Stegostoma tigrinum: one gene and its partner. The protein of the gene in region 1 purifies or fractionates together with the protein of each later gene. This does not show direct contact. Links are inferred from orthologs where the notes say so. Each region holds a gene or a part of one and is shown on either strand. Other genes may lie near its edges.

The links. The genes of interacting proteins can lie anywhere in the genome.
Region 2: the proteins of OTU domain-containing protein 1 (region 1) and flncb purify together in Homo sapiens (affinity purification with mass spectrometry; 3 studies listed by BioGRID and IntAct, with this or other methods). This does not show direct contact. The link is inferred for Stegostoma tigrinum from reciprocal best matches to the Homo sapiens genes OTUD1 and FLNC.

Annotation. Positions count from the first base shown.
Region 1 is NC_081355.1:119,876,353-119,884,182, reverse strand, and holds OTU domain-containing protein 1, read right to left. Parts: upstream 2,933-7,830; 5' UTR 2,537-2,932; coding exon 1,307-2,536; 3' UTR 502-1,306; downstream 1-501. UniProt on the Homo sapiens protein: Deubiquitinating enzyme that specifically hydrolyzes 'Lys-63'-linked polyubiquitin to monoubiquitin.
Region 2 is NC_081378.1:21,511,786-21,519,640, forward strand, and holds the start of flncb (filamin-C), read right to left. Parts: upstream 3,009-7,855; 5' UTR 2,847-3,008; coding exon 2,510-2,846; intron 1-2,509.

The sequences.
Region 1 (7,830 bases):
TAAGTTAATGGCAAAGTACATGACATTGAGTGCATTCAGACTACAGTATACTTTATAAATGTTGCACTTTATGTACTGGGTTTTGTACAGTAGTTACCAGCTGGTAGTTGAAGTGTTGATTTAATAGTTTCATGCACTACACAATATGCAGAAAAATTACCCCACCAATTTTTAAAATCGGTAGCTGGTCCATGTGGTAGAGATGCTCAGAGTAACCAAGCTGAAGGTTTCTCCTCCATTCTTTAGATTTATTAATAATTAGTGTAGCCTGTTCAAAAATATCATCCAATTTTTAAAAACGTCTTCTGGTTTGAATAATCTAATTACCAACTTTTATTGGCATTGAAACTTGAGGTTTAATTAGAGAGAGTTTAAACTCGGTACACACATATAGATTGAGCTTTGCAGAATATTAAAGTGATATTTTACTGGAGTGTCATAATCAAGGCCCTCTGCTTCTGTTAAGAACAGGAGTATGAAACATTTAGTCTCTGACAGCTGTTTGTGAAATGTTATATAGTTTTAATTCATTCCATGTTGATTAATAACTTCACAATCAATACAAATACAGTAATTGCAAACTGGTTACAAGTTTGACCCTGCAAACCACTTTTGGATGTCAATACATCTTGGACAGCGTATAAAAGTCAGTGAAATGGCAAGAAACAGACAGTAATAACGTTAGTAATTGTAGCTAAACTTTAAAAGATCTAAAATCTCTATTCTAACCAATTAGAAAAATCAAGGTGGCAATTAGCTACCTGCCAGAATACCAAATACAAGAACGTAATGAAGGAGATATGACAATAACAAACCAGCAATTGCAAAAAATTGCAATAAAACATCTTTAAAAAAACCCCATTCAGAATAAAAACTCTCCAAAGCAGAGATTAAACATCAGTTGCTTTCCAAACATCAGAAGATTAAGATTTTAATTAAAAAAAACACATGCTTAATGAGACAATGCAGTCCCATTCAATCCTATGGTCTCTTATCTGCAATAAGCCTGATTTAAAAATTCAGGTGCCCCGCAACCTTCATTAGTTTGAGCTCAAACATTTGGTAAAACATCTAGGTATTCACACATTTAATTAAGGCATTACTTAGAGTTGATTTTATGATCCATTTTAAAGTGCTGTTAGCCCAATCAATGTGTAAGCATATAAATAAATAAAAACCATATTAACAATCTTTACATTTGTACTTCTTACTAGCCTTGCTCATATCAGTTTCATCAGCTTATGCAGGGAATCTTAGGTCCTGATCTGAAATGTTTATGAATAGTACTGCTTGGGAGGAAAGTCATTTAAAAACAGCCATTTTGCTCAATGTACATTTTTGAAAGAGAAGCTGCCATGGACTTTGCTAATTCTTCATCTCGTTTCCTCTGAACATGTGTTTTTGTGCACCAGGTTTCATACTCTGGATTAGGTAGAGACTGATCAAACACAGCGTCGTAGTGTCCATTGCTCAACCAACTCAGCCATATGCTGGATTTTGATTGATCTTCTGGGCCAAGACAATGCACCATAGTGGAAACTGTTGGGCTTTCCAGGCTACCCCCTGTGGTCAAGTATATGTTAATGTTCAGCATTTGACTCATAGTAAGCAGCTCTGGGTAACCAGCCCAGGCTCCATCCTGGGCAGCGTTGATTAAAAACTCCCCAATGTCCCCTTCGATGATGGGGTTAAACTCGTCCAAGTGATCTGCGATGTGATGGACAGTTTCTTCTCTCAGTTCCTTGTGCATGTTCTGGTCACCGTATACAGCTTTACTGACGGCCCTGTACAAACAGTTGCCGTCTGGAATAATATGGAACCGGTATTTTTGTCGCTCCCGCAGGTAACTATTTTGCTTCTCCACTTCTGCCAGGTAACGAGCCACTTTGTCGTTTCTGTCCGCCTTGTTCTCCACCACCAGGTCCACGGTCCTGAAGCCACCGTCGAATTCCCAGGCACTGCTGCTGCTCTGTTCAGCCGCCTCCGTAGCCCGGGACTCGGGACCCGGCCCGACCCAGTCCTGGTACTCCCGCTCGGTGCTGTCACCATCCGGCGGGTTGAAGGCGGTCTCCGGCCCTTCCGAGGCGGGCTGTAAGTCCGTCACTGCCCGCTCTTGCTGGCCATCGCCCAGGATCCGGGCTGAAGCCTTCCGCGATCCTTCCGTCAGGATGTCCTCGGTCCAGACACCCCGTCCCTGATGGCCCGGCACCGGGGGCTCGGCCTGCGTTCTGTCGCTCAAGATCTGGATCGGCACCATCCTCTCGAGAGGCCGCAGGGGAATCCTGGCGGTGGAAGTATAGAGGAGCGAGGCCGGAGACGGAGCCGGGCCCGGGGGCAGCAGTTCGCATGACGAGAAGGCGGGCATGGCGGCGGTGGTGGTAGAGGAGGAGGAGGAGGCGGCAGAGGAAGAGGCGGCGGTGGGCTCAGTCTTCACTCCGAAACTCGGGCCCTCGACAGGCGCTTTCTCCGCCGCTGGAATGGAGACTTTGAAGGCGGTGCCGGGATAGTGCGTTAAGACGCTGCTGTAATAGTGCATGTCGCAGCTGCGGCCCCTTTTATAGCGGCCTCGGGCTGATGATGGTAGTTAAAAATAGCGGCTGTCATCACCAGCTCCCGGTACAGCCTAAAGCCGCGGATACGAGGAGATTGGACACAGGCTCCGACACCTCGTTCACACCCTCCCGCCGGCCGCTCTAATTGCAACTGCGACACTCAGGCCTAACTTGATCCCCATTACGTCAGCGCCGCTCCACTAAAGACGGGAGATTTCTCCGCATAAAAGGTGCATCGTTCAGGCCGAGACCTTTCTGGAAAGCACTCGGCTTTTTTTTCCCCGTTTCCTCCCCTGGTCCCTCCCCTTTTGGGCGGCCTGCACTCGTTTACTGCCAGTCGTTGTCTCAGCATGCTGGAATGTGAGCGCCAGAAACGGGGGGGCGGGGGGGTTGTGGCATAACCGCCCTCCGCCGGACTACCCCGGGTCAATCACCGCCAGTTCCAAATCACTTCAGGCCACTGCCACCCCATCTTCAGTGCTAATCCTCTCCCCTTCAATACTCCCTCTCTCTTAACCCTTCCCCCAGGCTTCTTGTCCTGTTTCCATCCGTTTTTCTGTTCTCTCAACTCCTCCCTTCCTACTACTTCTTCTAGACTTTCAGACCCTCCATTCCCACCTTTTTTCGGTCTCTAAAACCCACCCGCCCCACGCCCGCCCGTGTCTCTCCCTTCCGGTCTACACCAACCAACAGCCATCCATTTTGCTGTCTCCTGCTCCCCCACCTTCCCATTCTCCTCCAGTTTCTTTATGCCATTCACCTCTTATCCAGTTTCCTAACCTAGTAATCTCCTCATGCATCCCACCATCTTTTGCATCCTCTCCTGGTCGCACCCCAACCGAGCACTAATCTCTCCACAAATACCCAACCCCCACTCCTCTTAAAGATCTATCCACCATTTTGCCTCACACTATCCCTCTTCAACACAACTGCTTCATTTCTGCCCTAAGGTGTTAGGTCCAAAGTTGTGGCGACAGGTAATCTGGGAACTTGATGACTGAGGGGCCAATAATGTATCACTATAATAAATAGGATTAAAGGATTGAGGAATAAACAGGAAGTCTGAACCAGCTGAATTCAATGTCAAATCAGGTACAGAAAGAGGAATCCATGCACCACAGGAAATATAGTACATTATTTCCCCCTCCAATTCGATTTTGATTTAGTCCTCTTTCCCCATCCCAAAACACTCACCCCCTCACTTTTTGATGTTAGCATTGCCCTTAACAGGCTTTGCTTGTAAATATTCAATTGGCCGCACTGAGGAAAAAATGTTGTGTCCCTGGAAAAGAGAAATCCAGAAGAAAGGAAAACTGGATGGACAGACAGAAATGACAGGCAGATGGGAAATATAAGATATTTTAGACTATTTTAAAAACAACAGCAATTGGAAAAATTCCTGAGTAATGAGGATCAAAATATTTTATTGTTAATTTCCAAGTCGTAGAGGTTGATTGGCAATCACTAAAATGGTACATTTGTCTTTCTATGAGAACAAGGTATAGAGCTGGATGAACACATCTGGCCAAGCAGCCTCACAGGAGCAGGAAAGCTGACCTTCCAGGCCTAGACCCTTCTTCAGAAATGGGGAAGGGGGTTCTGAAATAAATAAGGAGCGAGGGGGAGGCGGACAGAAAATGGATAGAGGGGAAGATAGGTGGAGAGGAGACAGACTGGTCAAAGAGGTGGGGATAGACCAGTCAGGGTGAATGTAGGTGGGGAGGGAGGGACGAAACAGGTCAGTCCAGGGAGGACGGACAGGTCAAGGGGGTGGGATGAGGTGAGTAAGTAGGAGATGGGGATGGGGATGGGGATGGAGGTGGGCGGGGGGATAGGTGGGAGGAAGGACAAGTTAAGAAGGCTGGTAGAACTGGGCTGGTTTTGGGATGCGGTAGGGGGAGGAAAGATCTTGAAGCTTGTGAAGTCCACATTGATACCACTGGGCTGCAGGGTTCCCAAGCAGAATATGAGTTGCTGTTCCTGCAACCTTTGGGTGGCATCGTCGTGGCACTGCAGGAGGCCCAGGATGGACATGTCGTCTGCGGAATGGGATGGGAAGTTGAAATGGTTCACAACTGGGAGGTGCAGTTGTTTAGTGCAAACCAAGCATAGGTGTTCTGCAAAGCAGTCCCCAAGTCTCCACTTGGTTTCCCCAATGTAGAGGAGGCCACAACTGGAACAGCGAATGCAGTATACCACATTGGCAGATGTGCAGATGAACATCTGCTTCAGGTGGAAAGTCATCTTGGGGCCTGGGATGGGGGTGAGGTGTGGCGGCAGGTGTAGCAATTCTAGCGGTTGCAGGGAAATGTGTCGGGTGTGGTGGAGCTGGAGGGGAATGTGGAGCAGACAAGGGATTCACAGAGAGAGTGGTCCTTCCAGAAGGCAGATAAGGGCTGGGAGGGAAAAATGTCTGGGTTGGATTGCAGATGGCAGAAGTGTCGGAGGATGATGCGTTGGATCCGGTGGTTGGTGTAGTGGTATGTAAGGACGAGGGGGATTCTGTTTTGTTTTTTATTGTGAGGAGGGGTGTGACGGATGAGTTGTGGGAAATGCGGGAGACACGGTCAAGGGCGTTCTCGACCACTGACAGGGGGGAAGCTGCAGTCCTTGAAAAACGAGGTCATTTGAGATGTATGGGAGTGGAATGCCTCATCCTGGGAGCAGATGCAGCGGAGGCGAAGGAATTGGGAATAGAGGATGGCATTTTTTGCAGAAAGGTGGGTTGGAGGAGGTGTATTCTAGATATCTGTGGGAGTCGGTAGGCTTGAAATGGATATCGGTTTCTAGGTGGTTGCTGGAGATGGGGAGAGAGAGGTATTAGAGATGGTCCAAGTGATCTTAAGGTTGGGGTGGAAGGTGTTGGTGAAGTGGATGAACTCACGGGAGCACGACGTGCCGCCAATTGTCATAAATGTAACAGAGGAAGAGAGAGGGATTAGGGCCAGTGTAGGTACGGAAGAGAGATTGTTCCATGTATCCTGCAAAGAGGCAGGCATAGCTTGGTCTCATGTGGGCACCCTTGGCCACCCCCTTTGTCTATAGAAAGTGGGAGGAATTGAAAGAGAAGTTGTTGAGGGTGAGGACGAGTTCGGCTAAACTGTCCTGACTTTAATGTGCAAATCCAGTGATGTTATGAAATTCCTTGTAAGTGGGAGGCATTGCTTTCACTAAGCAATTTTAGGTGATTCACAGTTCAAGGATTATCTATCAGCACAGGTTGCGGGGCCATTTGCTCATTGGTATGCATTATATAAATTTGTCATAACTCAGTTCAGTAATGTATTAAAATGGTGTAAAACACAGGACAAAAACAAAGTTGCTAGTAAAGTTCAGCAGGTCTGGCAGCATCTGTGAAGGAAAATTAGAGTTAATGTTTCGGATCCGGTGACCCTTCCTCAGAACTGACGGTGGCTGGGAAAATGTCAGTTTATATGCAGAATAAAGGGGAGAGGGATGGGGTAGAGAGTGAACAATAGGAAGAGAGAAAAGACCAGTTGGACAGACAAAGGTGAAAATGATCAGTCTGGGAGGGTGAATAGTTGTTAATGGGGACTATTAGTGACCAATAACAGGTAGTATGTAATGGACGGCTGTGTGGTAACAAGGCTTGGTGTGTTGGCATAGGGGCTGGGACACGGGAGAGTTTAGGCCCTAAAATTATTGAACTCAAAAAAGTTCTGAAAACTTAAAATGGAGTACTCCATTTTAAATGGTATCCTTGCACAGGACATCTGGGGCGAAAGCACAAATGGTTAAAACTAGCCATTAAGCCATTTTTCAAGGGGTTATTATGAAATTACAGAAGAATGAAAAGGTCTGATGAAAACATATTGAGAGTCTGGTTTTGAAAGTGATATTTTACAGCATTGTTGTTTCATTGTTGGAGAATTATTAAGTTCACTTTTGCTGGAGCGGCACTTACAAACTTGTCTCAAGTAAGTGAATCCCATCAGTGGTTAAAACAAATCTGTAACAGAAACAGAGCTACAAGAGGATGGGCTGATTTCTGCCTTTAGGTATTAGCTGCTTCTGTAAAATTCAAACAAACTACTACAGATGCTGAAGATCTAAAATCAAAACGAAAGCTCTAGATAAATTCAGCAGGCCTGATAGCATCTGTGGAGAGAGAAACAGAGTCAACATTTTAAGTTTGATATGACTCTTCCTTGGAACTCGATCACTTCTAAATATTTTAGAATTGTTACCTAAAAAACATCAATGGTATATAGCACTTGATTCTTTGGTACAAAGTCATTCAAATAATTCAAGAACAAAAACAAAGTTGCTGGAAAAGCTCAGCAGGTCTGGCAGCATCTGTGAAGGAGAAAACAGTTAACCTTTTCGGTCTGCTGACCCTCCCTCGGAACTGAGGGAGTTCTGAGGAAGGGCCACCGGACCTGAAACGTTAACTCTGTTTTCTCCTTCACAGATGTTGCCAGACCTGCTGAGCTTTTCCAGCAAGATAATAAAGTGTGAAGCTGGATGAACACAGCAGGCCAAGCAGCATCTCAGGAGCACAAAAGCTGACGTTTCAGGCCTAGACCCTTCATAACTGTTTTTGCTCCTGATTTACAGCATTTGCAGTTCTTCTGGTTTTCATTAAAAGAATTGTTCATAACTTCAAATAGGTTAAAGAAAGATGCTCAGGAGTTAAAGCAAATCAATTAGGACATTTACAAGATCACAATGTTTTGGGGCGTTATGTTTAAGTATGGGTAAACATGAAGGGGTCATGTGACCTGTGTTGAAGTATAGTTGACAGGCCTGGGTGATATAGGACTGTTATAGGATCTGTTCTGGGTCCTCCTTCTATTTGTGATTTTTGTAAATGATTTGGATGTAGGAGTGGAAGGGTGGACTAGTAAGCTTGCAGATGATATGAAGGTGAGTCGAATTGTGGATAATGCGGAGGGCTGCTCTAGGTTACAAAAGGACACTGATAGGATGCAGAGTTGGGCTGAGAAGTGGCAGATGGGGTTTAAACCTGAAAAGTGTTTGCCTCAATCTACCCTGATTGAAATGTTCTCAAAAAAACTCTAGTCAGATAGGAGATAATGGGAACTACAGATGCTGGAGAATCCGAGATAACAAAGTGTGGAGCTGGATGAACACAGCAGGCCAAGCAGCATCTTAGGAGCACAAAAGCTGATGTTTCGGGCCTAGACCCTTCATCAGAAAAGGGGGATGGGGAGAGGGTTCTGAAATAAATAGGGAGAGAGGGAGAGACAGATTGCAAATGGAAAGAGGAGAAGATAGATGAACAGGAGAGTATGGG
Region 2 (7,855 bases), on another chromosome or scaffold:
CTGATAGAGCTTGATCTGCCTGGCAATTTCCACCTTGTCTACAATGAAGTTACTGACTTTGTCCAACAATCTAGTGCACTGACTAAATTAAAACACTGCCTGCTTAATTCTGAGCTCTCACAGCAAGCAGCAAGAAACAGTCCCCCCCACTACCATTCTGACATTTTCACTGTTACAAATTAAACTGACAAGCAGGCAGGCAGCCATGTTCACTGCTGCACAAACTTACTTTTGTACAGCACATTTAACATAAGACACTTTACAAGAGAAGTTACTACAAAAATCAACAGGGAACTGAGTGTGGAAATATTCAGCCCACATGACCAAAAGTCTGAAGCAGTAACTTAAGAGATAGGGCTAAAATTCCAGCAACCAGGGTTTGTATAGTTCAAGGCATATTCCCCAATGGTTATAGGATTAAAATAGTACAAAGATTTCTGATGGCTTGCAGGAGACCATGGATTGAAATCAAGGGTGAGAACTTTGGTGGGATGAGTGGCCAGTGGAGATCAGCAAGCACAGGGATTTTTGTTTTTGAGTCGGGGGGGGGGGGGGGGGGGGGGCATGTAGTGGCAGCAGCAAGAGTGAGTTAGGACACAGGCAGAGTTTCAGACAAGCTGCAGTGTATGGCAAGCGGAAGGAAGGAAGGCTGGCCCAGTGATCATGGAAATACTTTGATTCTAGAGGTAACACTGCCATGAATGAGGGTTCCAGCAGCAGATGAGCCAAGGTAGAGACTGGCAAACTGACAAGGGGTGGAAGTGGGCACCTTAGTGATTAAGGGGATGTGGAAATCTGACATTTCACTCAGTCAACTGTTCTTAGCTCTGCTGTCCTAATCTGTTTCAGCCACCAATCAATGCCAGAAATTAGGAACTTCTTCCTCCCCCCCCCCCCAACTAACAGAAGCTCCTGTGATCACAGAGGCTGTGCCAATTTCTACAAATCTCTACTTCTGCACCTGTTAAAATTAACAACTGCAGGACACTCACACCCTGTCACTCATACACTTAAACCAATGATCTCAGATGATAGTATTGTACTGAGCTGTACTGGTCCTTCAACTGAAATGTTAGCCAGGGGCCCATGGTTCAGCTTGGGTGCACAAAACCCAATGAGTGAAGGTTAAGAAATTCTTCCAGTGTCATGGTTAACATTTTTCCCTCTACCAATGTCACAAATACTGAAAGACTTGCATTTCTAATCACTGTCCTCACATCTTCAGTGCAGCCCAACTCACTTCATATTAATTAATTCCTTCTGCTGTATAGTCCCATTTATTCAGAAATACTGCAGGAATTTACACAGCAAGATTCCATAGACAGCAGTAACCAGACTCTGCCTTATTTATAAATATTAGTCAGGCTATGCTCTTCTTCCCATACATAGCAGCATATGAGCTTTTACATCCATCCAAGTGCATAGACAGGGTCTGATCTGAAAGACAGCACCCACACCAGGGCAGGGCAGCATACAGCACACTCCCAAGTGGGTCAGTTTGGAGTTTGGGCTCAGGCCTCTGCAGTCAGACTCAGACACACTTTCTGACTCAGTGTTGAAGAGAATCATCTCATTGCCATTTGTGGGAATCTTGCTGCGGGTTTAATAGCTGTTCCCTTCACCTATAAGTCACTGCCAAGAATTAGTTGCAGCTCCAGCACCGCTGGGCCATATTGAGATATGTGACAAGGTTCTGTATAAAATAGAAAAGTTAGACTTCAAGTCAGCGTAATATTCACAGAATCGTAGCGCCGACGGCTATTTGGTCCATCGTGACTGTACGAGCTTTTACAAAAAACTACCCACATAAATCACACTTTGTTGGTGTTTCCTTGTGAGGCACCTAACTTTCCCACACAAACCATTCGCTTTCCTGCGGAACCTTAAAATAATTGAATTTGCTTCCACAAGCCTCAGTGACCGAGAAATAACAACCCGCTCTCCAACAAGCTCGCCGTCACTTCGGGAGAAGTTCAGCATTAACCATGCCGCCGCTCCTTCCAGAGGCTGGCGAGCGCGGCTTACTGACGCTCTTGGCAAAAAAAAACATGTGAATTTTAAACGTCTTTACAATAATATATTTTATTGTCGGAAGAAAAAAGGAAAACTAGCCCATGGGTTTAAAACTCAATAGCGGTGGATCTCAGTGAGGAGCCGAGCCAGAGGCGGGGAAAGAGGGGACTGGGACTGGAATTACACCCCCCCCCCCCCCGCCTCACCCGGGACTGCCCTTCCCGGGGGGAAGAAGCAGGGAACGGGAGAAAAGGCGGGGGGCGGGGGAAGGAAGGGGGAGAAAAGGCGGGAGGGGGAATAAAGGGGAAAAGGGAGGGGGAATAAAGGGGAAAAGGGAGGGGGAATAAAGGGGAAAAGGGAGGGGGAATAAAGGGGAAAAGGGAGGGGGAATAAAGGGGAAAAGGGAGGGGGAATAAAGGGGAAAAGGGAGGGGGAATAAAGGGGAAAAGGGAGGGGGAATAAAGGGGAAAAGGGAGGGGGAAGGAGTTGTTCTTACCGATGGAGACCAGTTTAATCCTCTCTCTTTCCAGGAACTCCAGCGCCACAGACACATTCTCCAGCTTCATCTGGCGAAAGTTGGGCCGCGAGTGGTACTTCCTGTACATCTTCTTCTGGCTGAGCACCTCCAACAATCCGATCAACTTCAGGCCATCGCTCAGGTCCTTCTGCAGGTCCCCGATCCTCTTGTTCACACACTTGAGGTGCTCGTTACACCAGCGGGTGAACGTGTTCTGCTGGATCTTCTTCCAAGGAGCGTCCTCCGCCAGGTCTTTCTCAGTAGCCGGCATCTCCCCGTCCTCCTGGCCATTGGCCGCCGCCTCTTGCTGCTCCATCGTCCGCCTCCGGGAAACTTCTTCTCCGGACTCTACAGAGTGGGTCTCGCCGCGGTAACTCCCCCCTCCTGCTCACTCCCGGTTCCGGTCCTCTCTCTTTCTCACTTCCACCCTCTCCGCCCGGCTACCAGCCGCCGAATGGCCGCGCTGGTGGCCCCGCCGCACTTTTTAATGAGTGACGGCTGCTCCGGGCCCACGTCAGAGAGCAGGCTCGCCAGGAATCCCGAGGCCATGGCCGTATAAAAACTCCAGAGCCAGGTCATGCTGCTCGTCATAGCCGCTGACTGCAGCCTTCCGTTAGCACCTCAAAGCATCGAGGATAGCAATGGGTTAACCCAGCCTCCTCTCTCCACTCAATGGGTTAATAACAGCCTGAGTTGAACCCCACTCTGGGTGCATTCTCCATTCAATGGGTTAACTCTAGAGCTCAGTTTAACTCCACCCAGGGTCTGACCTGTCTCCTCTCGCCACCATTCAATGAGCTAACTGGAGCAAATCATGTTGAACCAACTTGCTGGCTTCCCCCACTTTCCACCCCCATCCCTCCGAAAGGGATAACACCGAGAGGTAATGCTGTTGGTGTCAATAACATGGACTTCCAAAAGGCATTTGATACCGTGCTGCATGGAGAGACTTGTGAGCAAAGTTAGACCTCCGATTTAAAAGGCACAGTAGCAAGTGGATAGGAAGTTGGCCGAGTGACAGAATACAGAGAGTAGTGGCTAATGGAATAAAAAATCAGAAAATACTGGAAGAACTCAGCAGGTCTGGCAGCGTCCACGGAGAAAGCAGTTCACATTTTGAATCCATTGACTTAGAACTCAGCGGAGTCAAAACATTCACTCCGCTTTTCCCTCCACAGAGTCTGGGAGATCTGCTGAGCTTCTCTAGTACTTTCTGTTTTTATTTCAGATATCCAGCATCTGCAATACTTCAAATTTAGTGTTTGATGAAGTTTTTTCTGAGAAGGGTTTATAGTGGGTCAGTGTTGAGAGCCTTGTTTTACCTGATCTATATTCATTATGTGGTTCAGAACAGAATTTTGAAACTTGTGGCTGATAGATTCGCTCCAAGTTTTCTAAATTGTGAGGAGGACAATGTGAAACTGCAAAGAATGTAGATAAGTTGGTGATGTGAGCAGATATGTAGCAGCTGAAATTCAATGTGGAGAAGAGTGAGGAGATTCATTTTGGAAGAATGCAAAATATAAGGGTACTACTCCAAAGGGGATGCAAGAATGGAAGGAATTAGGGGTATAAGTAATCAAAAGTGGCAGACCACGTTGAGATCAATTAACAAGGCATACAGTATCCTAGGCTTGAGTAGTGCTGGTGTAGAGTCCAACAGCAAGGTTATCTTAAACCTGCATTAAACACTGTCTCAGCCCCAACTTGAGTACTGTTCAATTCCATTTTAGGTACCCCACTTTAGAAAATTTGTGAAGGCTTTAATAAGAGTGCAAAAATATGCTTATGATTGGTTCCACAGATGAGGAACTTCAGCTACATAGGTATGCTGGAGAAATTGGGAACTGTTCACCTTGAAGCTTGAGATGAAACTCGATTGAAGTATTCAAAATCCTGAGGGGTCTACGTGGAGTTAACCAGGTAGGAAAAGGTGTTTCTACTGGTTGAACAATCAAGACTGAAAGATATAATTTAAGGTAATTGGCAAAATAATCAAAGGAAACATGGGGAGAAGATGTGGAATGCAGCAAGTGGTTAAGATCTGGCATGCGCTGCCTGAGAACGTGGTGGATTGATGCACTCAATAGTATGTTGGGTTTTTACTTGAAAAGAGAACTTGTGCAGGGTTATCACAAAAATGCAGGAAATGGCACTAGGTGCATTGTTCAGAGAGTCAGGACAGGCATGTCACTCCTGTCATGTTACAATTCTGTGAACTCACCAGTCTGGGTTAACCTGCATCCTTCCCAGTGTAAGCAATGACAGGGTGGGGGGGGGGGGGCGGTGTGGTGGGGGAATCCCTGTCGGTGTATTCAATGTGCCAACTGTCTAGAGGTTGGGTAAATACCCTCTCCTTTCCCAACTGCATTCACTGCATTAATACATTTTTGTCTTTCACATCAGCCACTGTGCACCCCCCAATTCCATTTGTACCCCTATCCTCCCACTCCTAAAAACGACTGGATTCCAGAAACAGAAAGTGAGTAGGAGTTACCGGAGAGCAGTCCCAGCCTTACTGAGCTCAGCTGCTATTTCTGAATATCCTAGGGTCAGTGTTAGAATGACAGAAGTTCATTTTTATACATTTATTCCTGCCCCTTCCCAGGAATAGCTGTACACATGTTCTCATTGATCGAATATAGCATGAGGCATCATTGCCAGGGGCCAGGCATCATCACTCAGCAATGTAGCAACTCACTATTGAAAGCTTCAGGGACGCTGCATGAAAGTAATTAAATCTGTTTTTCTCCATATCTTAAAGGTGCCTCACTGGTCAGTCAGCCTCTGAATTAGTTGTGTGAGCTGTGTGTGACATTCCTCATAGACCAATGTTGAGATATCCAGTCATCGCCTTTGCCCCTCTGGCTCCCGATCAGTGCCTAAACCACATATCCAGTGACAGACCCAATTAAATGCTACATTTCCAAGCCAGCTAATTCTTTTTACTTAGACTAATATCCAAATGAGGCTCTGATCTCTCATTCTCACTCATACTGCTTTCTTTTTCTCCCCTGCGTTGGACTTTCAGAGTGAAAATGTTGTTGGTGGCAGGCTGACTCCCCTGATATTGTTGGGGTAAATTTCCTGACATCAGGGTGAAATACCTTGATATTATCTGTGTGATTGTCTTGTCATCACTCATGTGCATTAGAGGGTGAATTTCAAATTCATTTCTTATTACTATAAAGGATAGGGCTAATGAGTGGCTTAATTGTTTTTCGTCACGATTTGTCAAAAAAAAACACGAATATTTTGAAAATGTATCACTTTGAAATATATATTTAATAGTAAACCATTGATAAGCAAAATACATTCCACCGATTACAGCCCCAGCAATAAATGAACAAAGAATATTATTTGACAACATGGGAAGTATCGCAGGCAGACATTGCTGAGGACCCAGGATTGCCCAGTACATCATTTCACCATTTCTGGGTGGGGAAGAGGGAGGGGTTTAAGGAGACAAGGATGCCCAGGAATCCCATTTTGAGAAATTAGAAGTGGTTTGGGAAGGAGGAGTGCTGGACTCCCCAGAAACCATCTCTAGGGTTGGTCACGACTTGCTGAGACCCTCATCTCAGGAGTGAAGGTACATTTGTGGGGATGTGGTAACAAGTCTCCCCCATGTTGGGGGCAGGACAGGGGTCAGATTTCCCCCAGACCCCATCCCTAGTGGAGCCCAGGACTCTTCGTGGCCTCATCTTTTTTGAGGTGCTTGACTGCCAGGAAATTTTTCTCACAAATGCAGCGTACAAATTTTTATTTGTAATTGAAAGCATGGTCTCAGTGAAGCAACAAAGGAGAGACTACAGAACTCAACTGGCCAAGAGAGGCAAAAACATGGTATAAAGCCCATACCAGAGTTCAAACCAGAGGAAAAGGAAAACACAGATTTGAAAGGAAGGCAATTCAGTGCTGGGCCACCACTCAGTCTCCTTGTTTCTCTTTCACTCCAATCTACACTCAGAGCAGTTAGCAGTATGCCAATGTTTGAGTGACAAGGACAGCATTAACTATACACACTGGTACAATACAGAGTCTCATTTTACAATATTTTACAAAAAATGATATTTCTTACTTGATGATCAATGAAATTATTTGCAAGAATATTCACAGAGCATTTTTACTGACAAATAGACAGTAGCTGGGTGAGTCAGTCATCAGACAGCAAAGAATGATTATGGTCTCTCTGTTTTCTCCTTCAGATCTACAACTCTCCGTGTGCTCTCCCTTTCTCTAAATCTGGTCTCACACACAGCCCCCGTTTCCATCAGTCTACCAATGGTGACTGTGCCTTCAGTCTCAGACCAAGGCTTTGGAATTCTCTCCCTAAACCTCTGCATCTCTCCACTTCCCTGTCCTTAATACACTCTTTGAAAGTTAGCTTTTAGTCATCTTCCTAAATTGTTCTTCATGTGACTCATTCTCAAGTATTTGTCTGCTAAGCCTGCTGCAAAGTACCTTTAGATATTTAACTGTGTCCAAGGCAATATAAGTTCAAACTGTTGTTGTCCGCATAGAATTTGGGGTTAACTCTCTATCTTCACATTTCAAGCTTTCTTTAAGTTTAGGTTTCTGAAAACAAAACAGAACTCCTAATGAACAAAACAGGCTATTTAATAGGATTGGGTATCTCTTCTCTGTTTCATTGGGAATCAAAAAGCTTAGACTTTCAAACCACACAGTGTTAGGGAAATTCACAGCATAGAACAAGACCACTTAGCTCAATGCATCTGAGTTAGCTCATTAAAACAATCCCAGACATATTCCAATATATGCTCTCTCCCTGTAGTTCTATGTCAATCCCAAACTTTACCACATGTTCTCCCCATAGCCCCATATCCATCCAAACTATCCTGTTACCTGTCTCCCTGTAACCATACCTCAAACTCCCTGCCTTACACTCTCAGGTAGGCCTGACTCTATCCCAAACTCCCTGTCACATGCTCTCACCATAGCCCCATATCCATCCCAAAATAGTACCACTGATCTACACTCTGCCCCAGAGCCTTCTATCAGTCCCAATCTAATGTCACTACCTCCTATAGTTCTGTATCAATTCCAACTAATTCCACTCCACTTTCTTCCCATAGACCTGTATCAGTCACAAACTAATTCGATTGACCCGCTCTTTCCCTATAACACTGGAAAAACTAATCTGAATGCTGCATTCACTTCCCAAAACTCGATATGAAACCCAAGTAAAAACCTCCAAGCCCACTTACTTTCTCCAGCTCAAAATTAGTCCCAAACCGATCTCTTTCTCTCTCTATGACCTGTATCAATCCCAAATTAATCCCACAACTCAATTCTCACCTAAAA